Danio rerio: one gene and its partners. The protein of the gene in region 2 interacts with the protein of the main gene of each other region in a biochemical or structural test. Links are inferred from orthologs where the notes say so. Each region holds a gene or a part of one and is shown on either strand. Other genes may lie near its edges.

Region 1 (8,892 bases), on a different chromosome or scaffold from region 2:
CTATCCAACATACATGCATCCATCTATCTTTGCATTCATCCACCCAACTACCCATCCGTCCAACCATCCATCCACGCACCCAACTATCCATCTATCTACCCAACGCTATTCATGCACCCACCCAACTATCAATCCATTCATGCAACTATCCATCCATCCACGCACCCACCCAACTATCTATCCATCTACCCAACGCTATTCCTGCACCCACCCAACTATCCATTCATAAATGCAACTATCCATCCATCCACCCACCGACTCCATCCAAGGATCCACCCAACTATCCATTCGTCCTCCACCCAATTACCCAGCCATCCACCCACAATCCATCAATCCATCCATCCATGCATGCATATTGGCTTTAAATTATTGTGATAATTTTTTCTGTTGAACGTAAGAGCCAGATCAAACTATAACTCATATTATTACAGTTGCAGTACATGACAAGATTCCAAAGACACTTTAAATACTATTACAATTCACATTACATGTAACTGACTACAACAGCACCATGTCTTTGATTTGTCCTGCGCTGTAGATCCTGCAGGCGGACGGTGGAAACTACAGCGCGTGTGTCAATGCTGCTACATTGGCTCTAGTGGACGCTGGGATCCCCATGCGCGATTATGTGTGTGCGTGCAGCGCTGGGTTTGTGGAGGACACCCCGCTGGCAGATCTGTGTCATGCAGAGGAGAGCGGTGGAGGAACAGCGCTGGCTCTGGCTTTGCTGCCTCGTAGTGGAAATATTGCCCTGTTGCAAATGGACGCCCGGCTCCATCAGGACCACCTGGACACACTGATGGAGGCGGCCATGACGGCGTGCAAAGAGTTCAGTAAAGTTCTAGACAGTGTCGTACGGCAGCATCTAGAGGAGGTTTCAGATCTGACCAGAGATTGAGATGGAGATTTAATGGACATCTATGGAGTCAGATCAGTGTCAAAAATAATACATTTACAAAATATAATTTGCTTAAATATGATTCAGAAATACACAAATCCAATTCATTTGGTGAAAATATTATATATGATATTCACTGGTGAATTCATGAACTGTGTGTTGCGTTTATGAATAGTGTTTTGATTTTATGAATTGGATTATGTAATTGTGAATTGTGATGTATGAACTTTTAGTAAATTAATTATTTTTGAGACTGATCTGACTCCATAGGAAATGCTCTATTAATTTGTTATTCATTTAATCTTTGAAGCATGCGCTTGGACTGAAAAAAAAAAACAGATTTGATCGACATGTATGGAGTTAGATCAGTCTCAGAAATAACACATTTACAAAATATAATTCACAAGTTTAAATATAATTAAAAAATACACAAATCCAGTTCATTTGGCGAAAATATTTATGATTTTTACTTGTGAATCTATAAACTGTGTGTTGTATTTATGAATTGTGTTTTGAATTTACGAACTTAATTTTATAAATGTGAATTGCGCTATGCATGTATGAATATCATTTCATAAATGTATTATTTTTGAGACTGATCTGACTCCATAGGAAATGCTTTAGTCATTTATTCTTCATTTTAGTGTCTGAAGCATGCGCTTGGACTGAAAAACACACAGAATTGATAGACACAGAAAAAAATAAGTTTATATATCAGCTTATCCAGAAGAAATGCCACCTAAAAAGCGCTGAACACATTTTGTTATAATAATGTCCTCTGTTGTGAGAGAGTTGTAATAAAACAATGGTATGTTTTTAACAAATGAACACTTTTCCTTTTGTGTTTTATCAAATTAACCATTATTTAATCAGATTTAGTACTCCTAATAAACAGTGGGGATCGAAAGTTTGGGCGCCCCAGGTAAAAATTTGAATTAATGTGCATAAAGAAGCCACGACAAGATGGAAAAATCTCCAAAAGGCTTTAAATTACAGATTAGACATTTTTTTAATGTGTCAAAAAAGTTAAACTTTATTTCCATCATTTACACTTTCAAAATAACAGAAAATAAAAAAAAAAACATTCTGGGAACGTTCTCTGTAGGTTTTTTTTTTTTTTTTGGTAACCAAAATATAACCTTCCCAGAACGTTCTCTGCAGGCTATTTTCAATGGTTAATTTATTACCTACAGAGAACCTTCCCAGAACATTCCCTCTAGGTTTTATTTAGGTTTTTTTCATAACCTTGAGAGAACCTTCCCAGAACGTTCATTGTAGGTTAATTTTGGGATCTATTTTATAACCAAAAGAGAACCTTCTCAGAACGTTTTTTTGTTGATTATAATATCTTGAACTGCCGCCTTTGGCAAGTATCACAGCTTGTAAATGCTTTTTGTACAATTTTAAGTTTACAGTTTACATTTCAGATATAACTTTGTTTCAAATGTTACACTCTAAAAAAACGTTGAGTTATTTATTTAACCCAATAATTAAGTTAAACATATTTGGTGCTTTGTTGGGTTATTTTAACCTTTATTATGTTATTTATTAGTAACTCAACCAGTTGGGTTAAATAGTATGTGCTTTGTTGGGTTATTTTTAACCTTTATTATGTTATTTAATAGTAACTCAACCAGTTGGGTTAAATAGTATGTACTTTGTTGGGTTATTTATATCATAACTCAACCAGTTGGGTTAGAATTTTTAATTTCAACAGTCAACTGATTTAACTGACACAGAACAGCTGTATTAATATGTGCGCTTAATGTTGTTTTTGCATTCTAAAGTTTATTTAAGCTCTTAACGCAATAATATTGTTGTCTTTAGCACCCAGCGGAGACATTTATTTATTTACACTATCATAATTATAAAATTAATAGTAGTAATAGTAATAGAGTAATACCAGAATGAAAAAAAAACATGTATTTAAAATAACCCAATGCATTGAGTTAAAATACCCCATAGTTGGGTTTAATGTTGGGGTATTTTTAACCCAACTATTTTATCAGAGTATGAAAAATGCACAAATACAATCCCAATACAGTAAAAAGAATTAAATTGGAAAACACATGTAGGGGTATATACATCATCACAAATTAAAGGAAAATATTACATAATTTACAAATTTTACAAGTTCTCCCCTGTAAAATGATGACGTGATGCTGGGTTATGGCGTCATTCACAGAAAGTATGTAGGCTATCAATAAGGAAGTTAAAGCGCCGGTAGTTCCCCTTTACTATATGAGAACTACGAGTGGATCCAACGTGTGCTAACAAGTTCGTGTCTGGACATTTTGGCTGATTTCTGGTCGCCGATGTGGAATTTGAAGCACCGTTTTCTTACCGGAACGAGTTAAAAACTGAACAGTAGTGAAAAACAACAAAACGAAAAGAGAGGATGGATGTTACTCACCTGACGGAGGACGAAATGGCCGATATAAAGAAGGAAGTGAGTAAAACGAAACAAAACGCGTTAATGAAATCGAGAATCTATTAATCAGATAATGCCTTCGTAAAAGTAGAAGTGAAAGCGCTGAGGGGCACTGACCACAAACCTGATCGATGCAACCAAACGTTTATCAGGTGTAAAAACCTGAAAGCAAATGATTTCCAAATGAGTTCGTCAAGTTTTTATACTCCGACTTCACTTTATTAGAGTGTGAACTGCTTTATGAAGTACCTAAGACGAGCATATTAATCATATTGGTCTACGAGATTAAATAAACCCACATTAAAACATACTACAGTGGACTAACTTAATTCTGGCAAATATTAGTGTTTATGAACAATGCTAAAGTAGGCTAACGTTACTTGAATTAATCTGTTGTGGTAATTTTGTTGTTGTTATGGTAATACAACAGTATAAACATGTCACAATACTGTAATACATACAACTATACAGTTTACACATAATAGTAGCTTACAATACTAATGTAACACTAATAACACACTGCTAACGTATACTACAGTATTTATAACAGCTTATGAGTTCAATATTGATAAGTAAAATTCATTTATAAAGAGTTCACTAAAGAGTTTAATACACTTAACTATAGTATAGTTCAAAAACATTACTTTTCCAGCATATGTTTTACGCAGCGGATGCCCTTCCAGTACTGGGAAGTATATATATATATATATATATATATATATATATATATATATATATATATATATATATATATATATATTTTTTTTTTTTTTTTCCTTCAGCTTAGTCTCTATTTCAGAGGTCGCCACACAGGTTTCACGCAGCGGATGTCCTTCCAGTATTGGGAAACTTGTAATATATATATATATATATATATATATATATATATATATATATATATATATATATATATATATATATATATATATATATATATATATATATACACAGTTGAAGTCAGAATTATTAGCCCCCTTAATTATTAGCGCCCCTGTTTATTTTTTTTCCCAATTTCTGTTTAATGAAGGGAAGATTGTTTCATCACATTTCTAAACATAATAGTTTTAAAAACTTATTTCTAATAACGAATTTATTTTCTCTTTGATGACAGTAAATAATATTTTAATTAATATTTTAATATTTCAAGACACTTCTATACAGCTTAAAGTGAAATTTAAAGGCTTAATTGGGTTGATGTGGTGAATTTTAAGGTAAAGGTAATTTTGTCCCAAAATGTTTTTTAAAAAATTAATAACTGTTTTTAATCTTGCCAAAATAAAATAAATAAGACTTTCTCTAGAAGAAAAAATATTATCAGACATACTGTGAAAATTTCCTTGCTCTGTTAAACATCATTTGGGAAATATTTAAAAAAATAAAATAAAATCAAAAGGTGGCTAATAATTCTGACTTATATATGTGTGTGTGTATTCTTTTTAAATACTATATATAACTATTGCACTTCAATACACTACAGTTTACAAATTTATACATACACTGCTAACGTATACTACTGTATTTATTACAGATTATAAGTTTAATGTTGATAAGCAGCATTCATTACAAAGAGTTTGCTATACCGTTTAATATACGGTTCAAAAACACTATTTACTAAATATATTTATTTATATAAATTTAATTAATTCATTTTCCTTCGGCTTAGTCTCTATTTCAGAGGTCACCACAGTGGAATGAACCGCCAACTATACTATGGATACCCTTCCAGCCCCAACCCAGTACTGGGAAACTATTTATATACATTTATTTTATATTATATTATATATATATATCTGCCACTATATATATATATATATATATATATATATATATATATGTATGTATATATATGTATGTATATATATATATATATATATATATATATATATATATATATATATATATATATATATATATATATATATATACATACATATATATATACATATATATATATATATATATATATAGTTCAATACACTTAACTATAGTATGGTTCAAAAACACTATTTGCTATATATATATTTATATTATTTTACTATATGTATTATAGTAAAATATATTATATTAAACATAAAAAAGAATTATCTTTTATTAACTTAGCAGATATTTATTTAGTAGGCAGACGCTTTTAATAAACACTACAATTCAACAGAGAGTAGCAGTATATAAATGATATGTAAAGCACAAGCCTACAAGTCAAATTTATTCATTCATTCATTCATTCATTCATTCATTCATTTATTTATTTATTTATTTATTTATTTATTTATTTATCTTTGTTGAATAAGAGAAATCACACTAATCTCTGATCAAATCCTTGACACATGCCCAATAATTTTTGCCTGTCTTAAATGTTCCCTGCTTCAAAAATACTGATATATAATAGCCTCCCTGCAAAGCTCCCTGAAAAACTATGAGCTATTGGGCTTAGTGTTTTAAATGCAAAGTGTGGTCATTTCACATGTTTAATTGATTTAGTAATATAGGTTCATTGATAAATAAAATGTATTTATCAATTATTTTTAAAAGCATCTTCACTTTACAGCATTTTTACACAAGTGCCTAAAACTTTGAACAGCTTTGCTGGTAGGTTTTTGGAAGCATCTTCAAGATGAGCCAGAGTTCTTCTTAACCGAGTTGTCCATCAGACAGACTGGATGATGATCAGATCATCTCTGAAAGTAAACTCACTGTTGAAGTACAATTAATGATCAAAATAATGTCTAACTATTTCAATCTGCCACTAGCCTAAGACTTTTGCACAGTATTGTCAGTGTGTAATCATTAGTTCTTGTCTGTCATCGTAGGCCATAGAAAGGTTGCGACCGTACCTGGTGGATAAGATCATCGCCGACCGTCACTTTGATTATCTGCGCTCGAAGAAGATCCTGACCAGGGAAGACACGGAGGAGATCAGCTGCAGGACCACCAGAGGGAAACGCACCAGCAAACTGCTGGACATCCTGGCAGAAAACCCTCGCGGCCTGGACATGCTCATCGAGTCCATCAAATGGGGCCGAACGCTCAACTTTATCATCGCCAGGATCACAGACGAGGTGCAGCGGGTCAAAAACGAGCGCCTGGAGGCTTTAAAAGGTAACTCTTTACAGGGTTAAAAAGCTTTTCTTATTCCGCTGACACCTGCTTGCAGCTTGTGTTGACAAGTCCACTAGAGGGCGCCATCTACATTTTTGCAAATCTCAAATATGTGACTGAGCTATTTTTTCTCATACATGTCATTTATGTGAGAAGCTGATCAGCTTGTTGGGCATAATATATTACTGACCCATACACCTCCTCCCTAAACTCAACGATAGTGTTTTTAGATGCAAACGAGTAGAGAAAAGAGCATTGCTGGAACATTCTTTTACCATGGTTTTACATTGCTTATTTGTTTTTACCTGGTTTCTAAAACAGTCCAAAGTCTGCCTACACGCCCCAAGTATGACACTGTACGAGGTAAGCTACAGAGCAAACTGACCACTCTGGAAAAGCCGTCTATATTGAGATATTTTTGTGGCATTTATCTATTAACAACCATGCGAAATCGATGCTATCGTTGATAATGTGTCCCTGTAAATCTTTATGCTGTAAATCTTTAAAAGGAACAAAAGTCGGCAGCATCACACCACCATGTAGTGTTCATTTTACCTAGAAAATGCTGGCAAGCACATGCAAAGGCACTTTTTGTGGTTTCCCAAAATATAGCCCTAGCCACATATTCACAATAAACACATATTGGGTGATATGTTTAGGATAAAGTACACCCAGGAGGTTGTTATCACAGAATACATCCCAAGAGGCTTTATTGACAGTCTGACGTGAAGCCGAGCACTGCTGTATAACACTAAAGGGTTTATTCTGCGAAAACAACCATCCTGGATTTACTTTATCCTGCTTATTACATTGCTACTTGCCCCAAAATAGACACATAACATTGTTCTGAGCTGTAATATTTTATTAATTCGTTAATTAAACGCAAAGCGGACAAAAATGAAAACAGCAGATGGAGTATACACTAACCTGCGCATTATTCAGACACTAGATGGCGGCAAACAGTCAAAAACACAAAGCTGACAGAAACTAAAACAGCTGATGGAGTATACACTAACCTGCGCATTATTTAGACACTAGATGGCGCCAAACAGTCAAAAACACAAAGCTGACAGAAACTAAAACAGCTGATGGAGTATACACTAACCTGCGCATTATTCAGACACTAGATGGCGGCAAACAGTCAAAAACACAAAGCTGACAGAAACTAAAACAGCTGATGGAGTATACACTAACCTGCGCATTATTTAGACACTAGATGAAGACAAACAGTCAAAAACACAAAGCTGACACAAACTAAAACAGCTGATGGAGTATACACTAACCTGCGCATTATTTAGACACTAGATGAAGACAAACAGTCAAAAACACAAAGCTGACACAAACTAAAACAGCTGATGGAGTATACACTAACCTGCGCATTATTTAGACACTAGATGGCGCCAAACAGTCAAAAACACAAAGCTGACAGAAACTAAAACAGCTGATGGAGTATACACTAACCTGCGCATTATTCAGACACTAGATGGCGGCAAACAGTCAAAAACACAAAGCTGACAGAAACTAAAACAGCTGATGGAGTATACACTAACCTGCGCATTATTTAGACACTAGATGAAGACAAACAGTCAAAAACACAAAGCTGACACAAACTAAAACAGCTGATGGAGTATACACTAACCTGCGCATTATTTAGACACTAGATGAAGACAAACAGTCAAAAACACAAAGCTGACACAAACTAAAACAGCTGATGGAGTATACACTAACCTGCGCATTATTTAGACACTAGATGGCGCCAAACAGTCAAAAACACAAAGCTGACAGAAACTAAAACAGCTGATGGAGTATACACTAACCTGCGCATTATTCAGACACTAGATGGCGGCAAACAGTCAAAAACACAAAGCTGACAGAAACTAAAACAGCTAGTGGAGTATACACTAACCTGCGCATTATTCAGACACAAGATGGCCCCAAACAGTCAAAAACACAAAGCTGACAGAAACTAAACCAGCTGATGGAGTATACACTAACCTGTGCATTATTTAGACACTAGATGGCGGCAAACAGTCAAAAACACAAAGCTGACACAAACTAAAACAGCTGATGGAGTATACACTAACCTGCGCATTATTTAGACACTAGATGGCGCCAAACAGTCAAGAACGCAAAGCCGAGAGAAACAAAACTGGCTGAATGGAGAATATACTAACCTACATATGATTTATTCACAAGACAACACTAAACAGTCAAGAACTGTTGCGTAATACACAAGCAGATACATTCTCAGTTCCTGGATGAGATTGTGTTATTTAGCGGTTGTTATCTGAGAATAACACACCCTGGAATATCACAACTGACCAATCACAATCGAGTATTCCAGACAGCAGTGTAATAAATATTGTTATCGTGATATGTGATGACTTGTATAATGATTTCAGATTTTTTTTTGTCATATTGCCCAGCCCTAGTTTCCATTCAGTTTATTTATGTATTTCATATTTTT
Region 2 (8,290 bases):
TCAATGACAATCCCTCTGTGTCCTTTTCCAAGTAGTCAAATACTCGAAAGAAAGTAATGCATCATCATTGGTTGCATTAGTAAGTCAAGAGGGTCAGTGTATAATGTATGTTCTTCATTTCCTCTAGTGCCAGACCCTCAGCATGGCTACAGCGACAGCTCTGAGATGGTGAAGGTCATAGTACAGACTGTCCAGAATCAAGACCGGGTGCTAAGAGATCTATATGCACACCTCAGGTAAAAAACTTTTAATGCCACTCATTTATGTTCAAATGGATTATACAGTTAAGGTATTTTACTTTTCAAATTTGGCCTTTGCAGTAAAATCCTTCTGAGTAAGCAGAAGATCATCGACCTCTTCCCTAAAATCGAGAGAACGCTGGAATGCATAAAGGAGGCAGACACCACAGTCATGCAGATGCAGATCAAGAGACAGAGAGAGTTCTGGCACTTACTGAAGATTGCCTGTGTGAGTCACATGCTTTTAATGTCTGAAGGACAGATATGCTTTTAATTTGCACATGAGCCACATGATCCCGGACTTTCCAGGGGTAGGGTTATATGCACATTAGTGGTCAGACCGAAATCTTATATTACAAAATGAGTAAAACAAAAAACTACACCATTTAAAAGTTAGGTGTGATTTTTAGTAAGGAATATTGTATGTCTTGGTCATTGTTCTCACTAAATAAAACCTGAGGCATATTCTGCAAAATGAACCGGCTAGATATACATTATTCTGTTCATTACACAGCTTCTTTCCTCAAAACTAAACAAGTAGACCCAGCTGACATAAAAACGGCTGAATATAGCCCACAGTAACCTACTTATTAGTAAGCGGCAATATGGCACCAAGCTATAAAGAACAGTAGGGTGAAAGATAAAGATATTAATATTAACACTTTTTAGATAACATTGGTCTGTAACGGTTATGCAATTGACCCTTTGCAGGCAGTTTGATTGACAGGTGATCTGGCCAATCATAATGCCAAAATTTTGCACCTCGTCACAGCGCGCCAATTTCTTTGACAAGCAGAACAACCAGACTAAACAGGCATAGTGAAGTGACATCTTTGATTGTAAAATTGTCAACATGTGCTTGTAATTGACTTGCAGTGCAGATAGCATGTACCCAGAAAGGCTGGGCAAATGTTTAATATTTTCTGAAAGGAGAGTATGAAATGGGTACATTTGTGTGGACGACTCTGCTACTCATTTGAATTGAGAAAGTATTCATTTATGATCACTTTTTAGTCATATCACATTAAAGGGAATTTTATATAAAATCATGGTGTACTCAAGAGTACACAAAACTAATCACTTTCTGGCCATCGGATATTAGGCATGGATATATATATTGCAATCATGATTTTCGCAAGTAATGTATTACTTTGTAAACGTTTATTATTGATGAGCCTCCCTATACAGTGTGATATGGCGATTGAATCCAGAAGCTGCTTCTCATGATGTCAAACCACACTAAACAAGTGGATAGTTTTATCCTGAAGTAATGCGTTAAGTTTCTGGGTTTTTTTTAATAGAATTTAATGTGTATAGAAAATAAGTATGACTACATGAGCAGAATATCCACAGAGTGGAATATTAAGCTATTTTGAACTATTAAACACACAAGCTGTGGCTGCCCTGTATAGATAATAAAATTCTGTTGTTTTAAACCTCATTAGAGAATCCTAAAAATATACATGGTTTCCATAAATATTATGCAGCACAACCATTTTCAACATTGATCAATAAAGCTTCAAATGAGTATATTAGAATTGTTACCCGTTACACATACTTAAAGTTGTAATTACCATAGTTTTTGACATAATCGCATGCAGCTAAACCTAAGCCTTTTTCTAACTCTAACCATTGTGTAACACTGAAGATTTGAGTACTGATGCTGAAAATTCAGCTTTACCAGTAAAGAAATTGAGCATATTTTAAAATAACACTAGAGTATAGGAGACTTCTTTCAGCCATTTCTGCAAATCTTTCTAAACCCAAACTTTTCATTGATGGAAGATGAGTTGTAACAAACTCTACTACTGAGATAGTATACCCTCACAGCCTGTTAATGAATACTCCATTTTTCCACACAATGTGATTGACCATTTTATACAAATTTAAAGAAGAGATGCAAGTATTCTTTTAAACTATCTTTTAGGTCATCTTTTGTTTGTTTTTCTGTCTCAGTTTCTTTTCAGACTACAAAACAACAATCCAGTTCAATGTTGACACCTAGTGGACAAACTAAGTACTGCAAAAACAATTAAAAGTGCATGTGAACTGTGCATAGATTACATGCATTACGCTTATGCTGTGCTAAATTCTTGTATCACTGTATGCAAACAGTAGCTTTACATGTATTTATTTATTACCATTAAAAATGTAAACAACTCAAACTACTTTTATAAAATACCATATGTTGACTTTTAAATTCTAATAGGAAGAACAATTTAAATACAAAGCAGTTGTCAAATAACCACTATATCCACAGCTATACATGTTTATGTTCTTTACATAATCAACAAATGTAACTGGTTTGTATTCAGGCACAAAACACCACACGGAGCTCAGTGAGTCAGAGCGGAGAAATGCCCTCCTCGCTGTCTACGTGGAACCAGACTCAAGCCCAGTGTTCCTCCCGTCTCCCCATGTCCTTGCAAGTGCCACACGAGGGGTATGTTTTTCTTCCAGACCTTCTTTTTTATGAATTATATATATTATAATATAGAATGATCAAATTGTTAAAACAATGACGTAATTAATCACGCTTTTTTTGTAATTAATCATGATTAATCACGAAACGCCATATTTATTACAGAAATAAAAACACAGGCATGTTAGTGCCTTATGAATTTCAAAACAATCACTGCAAATAACAAACAAAAATGATTTCCTTGTTGGATTTTAAGTGGACTACATACACACACGCACAGAGCAGCGCACACGGTGAGCGAGGAATCCCTTCAGATTCATCAACACGCACAATCGCGTTCATCACATTTGCTTTAACTAAGCATTCTAAAGTATGGCTGTCTTTTACATGCAAGGATTCTGACACAGCAACATGAAGACGCTTTACAAAAGTTGCGTGTAGAGGGGAACACGTCACACTTATGAAATGTGAGGGCTCATGGAAACAGCTTGAAGCCAGAGAATAGGGCTGTCTTTGACAGTTTGCGACTTTATCTGCCACTTTCACTTGATATACATTTACATGGACCCCAATACTCCGCTTTTTAAGATAATACTGATTAAGAGTCTACCATGTAAGCAGCGATTTTTGATTACCTTAAAGCAGGGGTGGCCAACCCTGTTCCTGGAGATTGCAACCCATGTCAAACACACCTGCCTGTAATTATCACATGGTATTCAGGTCCAAATTAATTGGTTCAGGTGTGTTTGATATGGGTAGCAACTGAAATCTGCAGGAAGGTGGCTCTCCAGGAACAGGGTTGGCCACCCCTGCCTTAAAGGATCATGCAAGTCACGGAATGCAGAGGCTTTTCTTTTCGTTCGCCATGCAGTATCAAATTCCATTTAAACATCCTGAATGAAAATATGCTGAATGAAAGTGAACTGCTGAACTGCAGTTAAAGTCTAAAGATTAAAAATGAAACACCCGAAATTGCATGAAACTCTGGAGGAAATGCTGGATAGCCTGGTGATGCGACATTAATTGTTTTAACTGAAACTTGGTCTTATCCAAATTTCTTTGCATGATAAACACACGCAGGGCCAGAGCAAGTTGAGCTTGCGCTCAAGGCAAGCGGCAATCACGCCACCCTCAACCCGAAAGTGAAAAAGAAAGTGGCCGTTTCGCAGATGTACACAAGGACCGTGAGGGAGGGGGTGGGTGTAGCAGATTAAAGTGAGGACTGGGGGGTTCGCTCACTATTCTGCTGCCCAAGGCGGCCGCCTAGGTCGCCTCTATGCATGCTCCATCCCTGAACACACGTCGGCCACAACACGAAATATACATACAGAAAAATATACATTGCAATATGTGAAGGCATCATCACCGGTGACGGGTAATGCTTGAATTATAAATGTCTAACTGTTGTCCTAAGATGCATCAATCACATCAGGTTTCCACTTTATTCTTGTACTTAAATGGTAAAGTTTGAGACTCCTGCTTTAAACTCTCTTGGGCCTGAATGCTTACACAGTCACAGCCTTAAAAAAACACATGCAAAGGATAAACCTTCACTCCATTAGTTGAACTCTGCAGTGAAAGCCCACAGGTTTTAAACTGTGGCTCTTAGTCAACTAAAATCCCAGCATATGATTTCAACATTGCGATGTGATTATTGTAGTTACGCACATTAAGCATACACCCGGCGCAATGTGGCGCAAGGCGGGGTGCAGTAGTCTTTTGGTAGTTTCAGCTTGGCGCAAGAGTCGTTTTGAGGCGTTGCGCTACGCTGTTTAAATAGCAAATGCATTAGCGCTCATTTGTGCGCCCATAAGCGTTCTGGTCTAAAAAGGAAGGCGCACTGCTGGCGCGTTGCTATTTTAAGAAACTATAATAGATTTTTCATTAGACCAAAACTAATTCGGTCTAAACTCCGGCGCAGAGTTGTGCCTCGCTTACACACGGCTTAATACGCACAAGAGAGCAATAGGCAAATATCTTTACATATGAAAAAATTTAAATATTAAGGATATATATAGGATATAATAAGAATAGATATAAATATAAAGGATTAAAATATTACGAAACATATTATTTTCTAGCCTACATACATATGAAAAACCACTGCTTTTATGTCTTCTTCATCTCGGGAGGCTTTTTCAGTTCATTCATAACAATTTGCTTTTGTATAATGGTATTATTATTAGCAGTATTATTTAATATATCCATATTTATATTTGTTTTATTAAAAACAAGCTTAGATTTGCCCACCTGTCAGGTTTAAGACCATATGAGGCACAGCATGTGTTTTAGGATATAACTCAGGTTTTTGAGCACATTTTGTTATTATTGTTCATTTATTCGTTTGCTGGAAATTAGAACTGAATTTAGAAATAGTTTTGAAACGAATATTTGCGCTTAACAAACAAAATTAATTATTTATAGACTAATTGATGTCTGTGCGTAAAGGTTTCCCTATCCAAGAGAGAATGTGAAAGTAGATCCATTATCTCTCATTCTCACGCAGTAGATGCTCTGTTTAACAGTTTTCTGTTAAAAAACTGTCAACTGTTAAGTGTTTGCTTGTGAAATGCTCATTTTTTTCCACTTAAACTTACTTTGCGTCCTGTAAATAGCGAATGCGCTCTTGGCGCGACGCAGCTGACTCTTAAAGGTAATGGGAGATGAGACTCTAATTGGTTTATTCTCAAAACACACCTATAACTCATTAAGAAAATAAACTCAACCCTTTTAGACCATGCGCCACTGCGCAAAGTGGATTTTCTCGTCCTTAAATTAGCAAAAACGCGTTCTGACACTCCCTGAAAGCGTTTGCGCCCTGCGTTTTGCGCTCTGCGCATGGACCGTCAAAATAGAGCCTTAAGATGTTGATGAAATGAAATATTGTTTAGCTCTACTATTGTAATTTTAGCATGACTTCCTTGGTTTTAAAGCACCATGGCTGTGTTTATCAATATGTTTGATGCTGAATGTTTATTTCCAGTGATTCAGTTAATCATTTACTGGAGGAGAATCAGCGTTACTTGACTCAGCTCACCAGTTTACTGCAAGAAACCACCGAGGAGAAATCGGAGAGCATAATGGTAAGGGGCTTTTATTTAAAAGCAGACTTCTTGTGTATTGTGAAATGCATAGAAATTCATGACATCACATATTTTCTCTCCTTCATACAGGCTCAGGACTGGAGCTGGACAAAATACGAATCCCTGGTTGCTAAATCACCGCGTTTGTAGAGTCACGTGACAGGAAGTAACTCTTTTAAATGCATTTATTCATCACCGCTGGATTGGGGTTGTGTTAACTCATATGATTCGTTCAACATTAAGTAACTTTGTCGGTGTCTGCATTCAGTTCAAATGAGATTGTACAGTCTTGTAGCAACCTTATATATTTTGGGGGATGCATTTTTAATTGACTTAAAAAAAAAAACATGTAAGCTAAATTCAGGCAGTGTAATTCCAGAAATGTATTTATTTACGTACTCCATCGTTCTCTGTATGGGCTGATTGTACTTTGATTTTAAGTGATGGGTTGTTGTTTTTTTTAATATGGTGGTTCAGCATCTGCACTTTAAAGGCTCACTGTGAATGTTCGGAAAGGTGTCAGGACTAACAGTGAAATTGGTCATGTTCAACTGCCATTTTGAAATGTTACTAAAGGCCTAAGTTTTAAAAAAGGATTAAATTGGTCTAAATGAAAAGCAGAATAATCATTAAGTTGATTAATTCATTAACTCTTCAACTATGAGAATGAGTTTTAGGAGAATGTTTTATCAGACGTGTTCAGATCAGTTTAGTATTGACGACAGCAGACATCTTATTATCAGGTTATTATGGTGGTTATTGAATGTGGATATTCATCAGTGGGCAAATTATAATAAATTAATTTCGTCCATCTTACTCCCTATTTAAATCACATTTTCAGACATGTTTTTTTTTTCCCGAGGATGATTAGTGTCACACAAACAAAAACTGTTGTACAATGTTTTGCATAATATCATTATTTTGTTTTTGTTGGATTATTATTGGATGATATTTCAGACATGGGTTAAAAGCATCTTATTAAAAACACTTTGGTTTTATCGTGTTTACTGTACATGACAAATAAACTGATATCCATTACTTTGTCTCTTGTGAAGAGGTTTTCTTCTGATTGCAGCAGTCGGATGGAATGCTTTTCCAGTAATTCATTGCAAAAATTGAAAAAAACTTGTTGTATTTCATAAATAGTCTATATAAAGATCCATATCTTTTAATAAGACATATTAATACTTGGGGATAAATAGATTACCTATATCACACACTATATTATTCATTTGCTGAGACAGATGTCAGTGTTTCCATGAGGAGTGTTTAAATAGAATGATTTGTCTTATGATGTATACTGTATAAATCCTGCAAAAAACAAAACACGTCAATATGCATATATTTTACAATTACTGAATTTGAATGCACTTTGCACTGTCAAATGCGGTTTTCATTTTAAATATAACGTTTCAGAACAGATTCATAATTCATTCATTAAATTCTGCAACCCAGCACTGCGAAACATCCATACACAATCTATTACACACTACACACAATGGCCAATTTAGTTTATTCAATTCACCTTTACCGCATGTCTTTGGACTGTGGAAGAAACCGGAGCATCTGGAGAAAAACCCACGTGGAGAACATGCAAACTCCACACAGAGGTGTTAACTGACCCAGCTGGGATCGCACCAGCGACCTGCTTGCTAACCACTGAGCCGCCTTGTCGCCCGATTCGTGATCATATTATTATTATTATCATTATTTTTTCATTATAAGAAATTAAGGATGTTCGGTTGATTAAAAATCATTTTCCAGACTGCGCTCATCTTTTCATAGACGACTTTTATTTTGAAATAAAGAAGCGTCTGATGTTTCGTCATTAGATCATAAGACATGCCCTCTATGGCTATAAATCACCAATAAATACACCAACTTCCCTTTCATCTTCGAAATTTGTGGCACAGTCATTGATTTAGACAGGTAAGTGTTCAGTTAACTACTGCTTAAAGTTGAAGTTAATGTATGATATTTTAAATGACAGAATTATTGTTACATAATTATTAAAAAATGCTGCAAAACCATTGTTACATGAAATGCTAAGATATTTAAATAATTAAGAAATGCAGTCAAATTAATCAAGTGTACCTGCAGTATTTAACTTTAGCTTCTCAACCATTGCAGTTCTTTTGGTTTCTCTGAATAAAATAATGGCTGCATCTCAGAAATGTCTTGGGAAAGGTAAGAAATTTCTTAATTTAGATTATGAATGCATTTTAGTGTGTGTGTGTGTCTGTCCTGAGTTTACTGCGGGTTCCGCGACTAAGAATAATTGTGTTGTGATTACAATACACTGTTTACATAACATCCTTCAAAAATGTAGTCCAACCTCTTTACGCATGTCCAGATTTGTGTATCATGTTATGTTAAGAAACGGTTCCAGTTGTTTTCATTGTACACCTCCGTGTTAGCTTGACACCTCCATGTGACATAACATTTATGACCACAGCATGACACTGCACTCTTATGAAATCATAAAATCACTTCATATTTTCAGTGATTTTCATGACAGTGAGGACTGCAGTTTTCTAGGAATCTGT
Region 3 (9,032 bases), on a different chromosome or scaffold from region 2:
TCAGTACAGACTAGTCTAATGTTTATGCACACATATATTATTGTAAAGCTTCCTATTAAAAATTTAAAAGACAGATTTGTGAAGGGTGTACATATATATGCTGAGCACTGTATGTTACTATCGCAATATACATTGCAGACAAACTAAATATTGCAATATGAGTTTTAGTCCAACATCATGCAGCCTTAATAATAGAACTATAAAATGAGAAAAAAATTATATTTATGCTGTTTTTACTTTGCTTTATTTTGGCAAAAATTTGAGGGTTAATTTCTCATTGGAAATGCTTTTTTGGGGACAACAGATTTTGAAATCATTCTTTTCTCTTCTTTGTAAAAACTTTATTTTGCAGAGATTATTGTACTAATGTTTTGCTTCTTGTACTAATGTTTTGCTTCTTACACTGTCTTTACACACCTGAAACTTGCCTACAGCACTTATTCATTGTTGCTCTTATAGTTGTGTAAATTGCTTCCTTGTCCTCATTTGTAAGTCGCTTTGGATGAAAGTGTCTGCTAAATGACTAAATGTAACTGACAGTTTAATTGCAAAAACAGTTTACATACAACATTCGTTACAGATTTTATTTGACTCCTTTATGGGAAAAACAGCAATTGTGATTTTTAAAGATAATACAGATCCCCTTCACTCAGCTTTTGAAATGTTACCATCGGGACCAAGCTTAAAATGCATGGAACATGAAGAAATACTTATAAGAAGTCATTTATCCCTATTGCAGTTGTATTAAACCTTACCACTGTTTAATGTGAACGGTGCGGTTGTTAAGAATAATCTGGAGTAATATGTATGGGGCTAATATGGTTGTCTTGAAGAGTGTTGCTATTATGTTATTGTTGTACGGTTTATTTATGTTACCAGTGTAAAAGACAAATTTCCTTTCTGTGCCAAGCAGAAAAGATAATAATGTTTAAACTAAAATTAACATAATGTAGCTTTCAGAACTGAAGCCCTTTAATTTAAACAATTTACAGGGAAAAGGTTGAAAGTGATTTTCTATGCTCCTCAATTTTTCATTGTATTTGCAATCTCTTATATAATAGAAATGAATACATGCATGCCTGCTTCATAAAAGCTATATTGTCACCCTTCATCACATTTACTGTAGATGTTTTTAGAAACTGGTCAGAAATTCAGATTTTGGATTTTTTGTATTTATATTTTTGTAACAATTTACAGTGGTTCAGGCCATTTTTTGATTTAAGAACAAATTCCAAGCAAAAAAAAAAAAAGGCTAGACTTAAATTTATGCCGTTTATATTAAGTAATCCAACATGACAGATGATGTTGGCACATATCTAAATGTAATATATATTAATTTTACACCAATAAAAGTGTGTGCTTACTGTCAGTAGGCTTGAGGAGCTCAAAGTGTTGACCCAATACTTATTCCACAGCAGCTCTAGGAGTTTGCGGTCCAGGGAAGACTTAAAATAAGACACTTCTAATGCATAATACCTAAAAACAAACAACAGCTTATCGTTAACTGCAAGTCAATATATTTTCAAAATATAACAAGTGCATAAAAAGGCTAAAAAAAAGGAAATATATTCAATATGTCATGCACACTTACTGTTTGCAATGCACTCCAAAATCCTCAATTTTGTTAAGAGGTATCGTCTGGTATTCAGAAGGACCCTCATCTGGAGGCTTGTAACCCTATTTTTAAACATTTGAATGTGATTCAACATCTTATAAAACGCATATAAATTAGATACAGTTGCCTAAAAATAGTTGCTACCTTCGGATATGTCCTGAAAGCTCCAAGATTGACCTTCCCTGCGGATATAGTCCTTGTGGGATCGATCTGAGGATGAAAAATTACAAGGACTGAAATTAGCAAAAGAGTTCAGTCAAATATAACAAATAAAAACAGTAAGCTGCCAGTTTTGCGAGTGAAAGTTATGAACGCCAGCTTGCTATTTGCCCTCGGCACTACATAAGCAATGAAGGATAAACTGTATAATGTATTCTGTTACAAAGGCAACAGTCATTAATCAGACAGCAGTACAAATGTCATCAACTCATTTGTGTCTTGAGGGTCAATTATGGATCACTGATAAAGCTGAATTTAAACCGATACTTTTAACTATTTCATAGCGGAGCTGTTTTCCCCTTGTGTCTTTTGAGATGGATGGTAACCCGCTTTAAAGAGGGAAATCAGCAAAATATGCAACAAGTTTAACATTTCCAACAGCGCTTACCACTACTGCGACAAAGGGCTCTTGAAACTGCTGGTTAAGCATCTGAGTGCTGACATCTATGCCTGAAAGCCAGCAGCCGTATCCTGGATGACTGTGGTACCATCCAATGGCATTCTCCAACCGCCCCACCTAAATAAATATATAGACAATTAACCTCAGAATTATTGAACTTCCATATCAATTCTTTCATATGCTGGTTATTGCGAATTGATGCATAATGTGTTTATACATTTATAAAGTGCATTTTTGAGTTCCTGTCGCTTGTCAAATTTTATTTTTTATTTTATTTTTAAAATCATATTTAATGGCAAATATATCTCAATTAATATTAGACCTTTCAATCTGAATAATAATAATATTAATGATAATTATAATAATAAAAAATCTTTAAAATATTGTTAGAGTAAAAAATTAATTTGCTTGTTCATTTCTGTTCCTGTATTGCATCTGTTAAGTATTTAAATTTTTTGTAGTATTTATTAATTACTTTGATGTGATAAACACATCTGTGTCCTTACTGCATGCAGTCCCTCAATAGTAAAGTATGAAAACTGAATAAAAAAAAAAAAAAAATTATATTTATATAATAGGGCTGCATAATATACTGTTTTAAAATTGATACCGCAATGTGCGCATCTGCAATAGTCACATCGCAGGATCTGCAATGTCGAACCGTTATTATAATTGACCAGGAACCACATTTGAAAACACTCATGATGTGTGCAGTCATTGCAACGTTCAACCATAAAGTTACCAAAACCTTCACTATTTCTGTGCGTTTTCACCATTTACTCTAGCAAAAGAAATTACATTTCTAACTTTATGGTTAGAATGGTTTCACACTGGATTATTAAATTTGTAAATCTGAATATTGCTAGACTTCTAGAAAATCATAAAGCACTGTATATTTTATTTGCCTTTTATTTTCTATTTGTTCTCTACTGTATTGGTTTATTATATTTTATGTGGACCCACTCCCTTACATTAGAATGTCAACGTATCGAAAACTATACATTCTTTCCAAATAGACCTTTTTAATTTAATAGCATTCAATTTCTTTTTGTTTCAAGTCCTGTGACAAGAATTCTGTTCCGTCTCTCAATTAATATTAGAAAGTAAAGACTAAATAAATAATAATTATAAAAGATCTAGGATGATTTTTAGAGGAGTATAGGAATACAATTCATGTTTATTTTAGTTCTGGTAACTGTTCACTTTTTATTTTAGATTTTTTTTTAAATCACATTCGAGTTTATTAGATTTAAATGGTTCTGTGATGCGATACATATTTAGATGTCCAACTACTTCATATATTCTCTCTATTAATCCTAAACATGAAAACAGAATACAAACCAATAACTTTCTTTACTCTTTAAATTGTAATTTTTATATACACGTTTTAAAAAGGTAACCACAACATGTAGCTTCTCACATAACATTGGATCAATCCTAAAAACGTAATGCAGAATAATTATAAATAACAATTAATAAAATATTTGTGATGATATTGCTCTTGATTAGAAAATCTTAAAGATCAGCATACATGCTCCACATATAAAGCAGTGGATATGATCATGTTTATAAACAAACTGTGCTTATATTTATCACTATTCATCTAATATGAATTTTAGAGTAATTATAAGTCAGTGTACCTGTTTAGCATTCTCTATATAAGCAGCCATGTATTCATAGGCTGCAGCCTGAGCGTTGACTCTGGTTTCAGTGCCTTCCACTGGTAAAGCAAAACTGTCCATGATGATCATGGTCTCTCCATCCACCTTCCCCAGCATAAGTCCCATCACCTCCAGGTTTCCTCCAGATCTAGCGTGCATCACCATCTTCAGCAGTGCCAACGCCGATAGCTTGCAGTATTTAAAATAATGATGACTGTAAACAATTAAAACAGTGTAGGTTACACAACAGTGGTATTAATAATTCGAAAACAAGCCGGGCCTCTAGGAGACATCATTTTGGTTTTGTTTACTTACTCTTTAGTCCACGGTTTGGCCGCCAGAATTTCTTGTTGTTGTTTTTTGTCATATTTATATATTTCGTCGATACTCTGAACTTCCTGCATGCTGTTTGACAGCTCCCATGTTTTCATCGCTATGCTACTGCCAGCCATAGCTAATACTACAGTCGGCTTATATCTTCTGTTCGACTATAACGAAGTATGATTAATAACACTCGCAATTAATAAAATATGAAGAGCTAGATAATGTTAAAATTGTGTAGTTTATCTAACTATTTAAATAGATCATTTAGCAATAATTAACAAAGCTCTTGCAGTACTCCTTTTCTGAACAACTCTACAACCTGAGTGAAGCGAAGCGAGCGACCGTACGGGTTACTAAGGAATAAAATTGATGCCAAAATAAGAGTCCTGAACGCAAACCGACCGCTACTGTTTTACAGTCTATGGCACCGCCACTGTTTCTTGATATATTCGTTTTTGTTTAGTTGTTTATCTAAGATATGGTTCGATCTATGTCATTTCTGTTTAATGACCCACTTCGTAATGTGACAAAATAGTGTTAAAAATTGATCTACCTAATTATTTGCAAATAATAGAGGTCATATTTGGTCTATTTCTATTTGTATTATATTATAGAATTATGATATTGTATTTCTGAATATATTAATTATTAACACATTTACTTTCTTAAAAAATAATTATCCTCTTTAATTAAACTTGTATTTATTTGTCTTTATTTGTCAATTGTTTTAATATTTTTAAAAATTGCATGTTGGATAATTTATAATATGTTATGTACTCATATTTGTGTCAGTTATTTCATTATTTTTTACAATTATTAAATTGTTTATTTTTTATTTTATATCTCAATATAATGTTTGATTGTTTATTTTAAACTAATTTATTGTTTAAAGCATTTAAAATTTACGTTTCTTTTTATATATTTTATTCTAAATTTTTATTTTTTTATTTTTTTTGTGCAATTTTTTATTGTAAAAAGGGAGAAATTTCAGTTGAATCAAATAAAGTTGTAAACAGTCATAAACTCGCTGGCATTTTAAAGCACCTCTTTTGTTTTTATGAAAATATTAACGTGGCGTTAAAAACTACATTTCCCAAAATGCACTGCGCAGACACAGTTCAAAGGTTACTGCTACAAGGAAGTGCAGAAAAGTTCTCAGTTAATCTTCTTACAAACTATTTGGTTTAGCAGGTCAGAACTCAAAGATACAAAAGCACCTTAAAACAGATTAAAAGCCCATGCGCGGGTTTTGCTTCAGGGCGTTTCGTTCCCGCGCACTCCTGCTCTGCCCGGTGCTTTCATTGACAGATTAACGTTACATGATACCTTTATATGTCTTCTGTCCACCTTCAACTAATCAGCTTTATGAATCTGTTTCAATCTCAAATTAGCAGAAAGGTAAGTACAATCTTAAATAAACCCCTAACGTTACTTTTAAAAAAATGTTGTACAATATAACTTATTTGAACCTACTGTCCTGCTAATGTAAAACTAATTCATAATAAAAATCTATTAGACTAATAACAGAATGTTTTCATAAATTCATTTGTGTATCTTCTTTTTGTAAATCAGTGTCAAAGGTCTGACTGGAGACAAGATGAAGATGGTGACATTCTTCGTTGTGGGACTCATTGTGCATGTAGTCTTCTTTCTCTGCATATTTGACATTTATTTCACATCTCCTCTTGTCCATGGAATGACTCCTCAGCGGGTCTCTCTGCCCCCTCCGGCCAAGCGCCTGGTGCTGTTTGTGGCAGATGGTTTGAGGGCCGACAGCCTCTTTAAGCCAGACGACAGTGGGACATCCAGGGCTCCTTACCTAAGGTGACGAACACTGGATAATCTTTGTCCTGTTTACCCATGTGCTCCAGAGAGTTCAGAATTGTTTATGTTAGTCATTAATGTCTAAATAATATCTATTAGTCATGCTTAATGTTAAAAATATTCACCATCCTTCATGATTTCATAAAAAAAAAAAAAATTCACCTAAGCATTGCATTTAATATTCCATTCATTCATTCATTCATTCATTCATTCATTCATTCATTCATTCATTCATTCATTCATTCATTCATTCATTCAGAGTTATATGTATCTAAGTGTTAAATCTATTTAATAGCATAGTAGAAGTTACATTTTTACAAAAACACATCCTCATACAGTATATTGTGTAAAAACAAACAAAATAGATATGTATTTTATAGGTAAAACTACTTAATTTAGTTTACACTAAATAAAATGCATATAGTACAACTTAATTTACTAATTACATTTTATGCATGTATTTATTTATTCATTATTCTGTTGGATAAAGTTTTTCTGATCACACTTTACAATAATGTTTCATTAGTTAAATGTTTATGTATTTACTAACATGAACTAATAATAATGAACAATACTTGTACAGCATTTATTAATCATAGTTCAGCATTTACTAATGCGTTATTAAAATCCTAATTCATGCTTGTTAACATTGTTTAATACAGTGAGTTAATGTGAACTAAGATTACATAACTTTATTGCCATTAATTAGAGTTAACAAAGCTGCATTTAATACTGTATGTGTTGTTATTATTTGTTCATGTTAGTAAATGCATGAACTAATGTACCTTATTGTAAAGTATTACTATTAATTTTACCATATTTCTTTTTACTTTAACGTCATCTTAAGGACCACTAATGAGCTCCCCTTCCCACCAGTTTATGCCTGTCATACATTAGGGCCTCTATTTTAACAATTTAGGGGCAAAGTCTAAAGCGCATGGCACAAAAGCATTAAGGGCGTGACTGAATCCACTTTTGCTATTTTAAGGACAGATCAGTACAGTTTGGTCTAACAGGGTTGTGCTTATTCTCTTAATGAGTTCTGGGTGTGTTTTGAGCATAACGTGCATTTAAACAATCTCTGTTTGAAAGTCTGATCTCCCATTTCCTTTAAGAGTCAGTTGCGTCATGCCAGGGTGCGTTTTACATCATTTACATGATGAACTTTGTAAGTGGAAAAACTGAATGCTTTACTAGCGAGAAAACAGTTAAACAGACCATCTGTTCAAGGATAAAGAATGAGCCACCTCCATTCGACCTCTTTACTTTCTCTTTATTTTACTTTACTCTTAACCTTACTCATTTACTTTCGTGGACAAGGAAACGGTGTTGCACAAACTACATATTTAATTTCGTTTGTTAAGCACAGAGATTTGTTTCAGAACTATTTCTAAATTCAGTTCTAATTTCCCGCAAAGGAATAAATTAACAATAATAACAAAGTGTAGTCAAAAATCTGAGCTATATCCAAACACACATACTATTCTTATGCCCCATATGGTGTTGCATACGTCTCCATAACCTGACAGGTGGACAAATCTAAACCTTTGTTAAAACAAATATAAATTTGTGTATAATAAATATTAGTATTAATAATTTAACATCATACAAATGCAAATTATACAAAAAGCCCCCCAAGGTGAAGAGGGCATGGAGGTAGTGGTTGTTATATTTATAAAGAAAATATTAATTTTTGTAATATTTTAATCCTTAAATTTTTTCATATTTGTGTATTGCTGCACATCCTGTGTGTATTAAGTAATGTGTACGTGTTTTTGGAATGGCATATGCGCTGGACTTGGTTAGTGGCGCAGAATATTTCAGTTCCTCAAAATAGCAGCGCTCCAACAAAGCTCCTTAATGCACCCCCCTTATAGAGCTGAACACTCATGAGTCCACAAAGTGGCAAAAATGGATTTGCTATTTAAACAACATGGCCCAAAAACATGAAAATTAGGTTTGCACTGGTCTGAAAATTGGAACAAACCACGGCAAACACATCTTGCGCCTAATTGCGCCGGGTGTATAATAAGGCCCTTGGTGTATACAGGTATATTGTTTTATTTATTTGTGCTTTTTTTTTCCTTCATGCTGTTTCCTGTCATAAGGAGTGTGATTGAAGAGGGCGGCACATGGGGAGTTTCACACACACGGGTCCCTACTGAATCACGCCCAGGACATGTCGCTCTAATAGCAGGCTTTTATGAGGACGTTAGTGCTGTTGCCAAGGGTAAGCAGTCATATCTGTGTTTGTATCTAGCTTTCTATGTGTGTAAAATCAATCATGTGCGCCTGTGTTTCCAGGCTGGAAGGAGAATCCAGTGGAGTTTGATTCTGTCTTTAATGAGAGCAGATATACCTGGTGTTGGGGAAGCCCTGATATATTGCCAATGTTTGCTAAAGGTATAACCACACACCTACGAGTTGGTCTGGGGAAGCATGTTGTTTTTATCTGGTGGTCTTATCAGCATGTGTGTTTTGTAGGTGCCACTGGAGACCATGTCTACACTCACACTTACCCTCCAGAGCGAGAGGACTTCGCCTCCACTGATGCTTCCAGACTCGACACATGGGTGTTTGATGAAGTGAAGGTAGGACGCTCTTGTGCAATCACTTCATATTCATTTATTATGTGTAGCTTTTCAATGCATATTGTCATTGATATGTAAAAAAATGCTAGAAATTACAATATTTGTATGTAAGTTTAAAAGAAATGTTAGCAGAACTTTATAAAATAAAACAAATATTTTTTTTACAGAAACCCTAAAAATCCTGATAAACTGAGAATTTTCAAGTTGTCTCTATTTTTTTCCACTAGTTGTTTATATCAATGCAGCGGGGAAAATAAGCATTAAAGACTTGATGTTTCCTGAGAATAATATATATCTAAAGGAGCTGTTGACATGGAATTGAAACAGATTTTGGTAAAAACCTCAATAATACAAACATAAAAATACAACAAAAACCTGAAAAATGAGTTATGTGTGAC

The links.
Region 1: the proteins of chuk (region 2) and bcl10 form a complex in vitro, tested with the Homo sapiens proteins (2 studies listed by BioGRID, with this or other methods). The link is inferred for Danio rerio from reciprocal best matches to the Homo sapiens genes CHUK and BCL10.
Region 3: of the proteins of chuk (region 2) and cops5, one has a biochemical effect on the other in vitro, tested with the Homo sapiens proteins (2 studies listed by BioGRID). The link is inferred for Danio rerio from reciprocal best matches to the Homo sapiens genes CHUK and COPS5.

The regions. Positions count from the first base shown.
Region 1 is NC_133177.1:2,089,648-2,098,539, forward strand, and holds the start of bcl10 (B-cell lymphoma/leukemia 10), read left to right. Parts: upstream 1-3,117; 5' UTR 3,118-3,296; coding exon 3,297-3,347; intron 3,348-5,874; exon of another isoform or gene 5,875-5,986; coding exon of another isoform or gene 5,987-6,010; intron 6,011-6,136; coding exon 6,137-6,425; intron 6,426-8,892. Other genes in the region: exosc4 (exosome complex component RRP41), read left to right, coding at 539-898. UniProt on the Homo sapiens protein: Plays a key role in both adaptive and innate immune signaling by bridging CARD domain-containing proteins to immune activation.
Region 2 is NC_133188.1:28,590,678-28,598,967, forward strand, and holds the end of chuk (inhibitor of nuclear factor kappa-B kinase subunit alpha), read left to right. Parts: intron 1-127; coding exon 128-236; intron 237-320; coding exon 321-468; intron 469-2,554; coding exon 2,555-2,682; intron 2,683-5,644; coding exon 5,645-5,744; intron 5,745-5,834; coding exon 5,835-5,894; 3' UTR 5,895-6,782; downstream 6,783-8,290.
Region 3 is NC_133199.1:27,632,978-27,642,009, reverse strand, and holds the start of cops5 (COP9 signalosome complex subunit 5), read right to left. Parts: upstream 4,528-9,032; 5' UTR 4,348-4,527; coding exon 4,211-4,347; intron 4,110-4,210; coding exon 3,875-4,109; intron 2,352-3,874; coding exon 2,223-2,351; intron 1,826-2,222; coding exon 1,760-1,825; intron 1,678-1,759; coding exon 1,592-1,677; intron 1,477-1,591; coding exon 1,365-1,476; intron 1-1,364. Other genes in the region: pign (GPI ethanolamine phosphate transferase 1), read left to right, coding at 5,817-6,043, 8,152-8,273, 8,348-8,446, 8,528-8,634. UniProt on the Homo sapiens protein: Probable protease subunit of the COP9 signalosome complex (CSN), a complex involved in various cellular and developmental processes.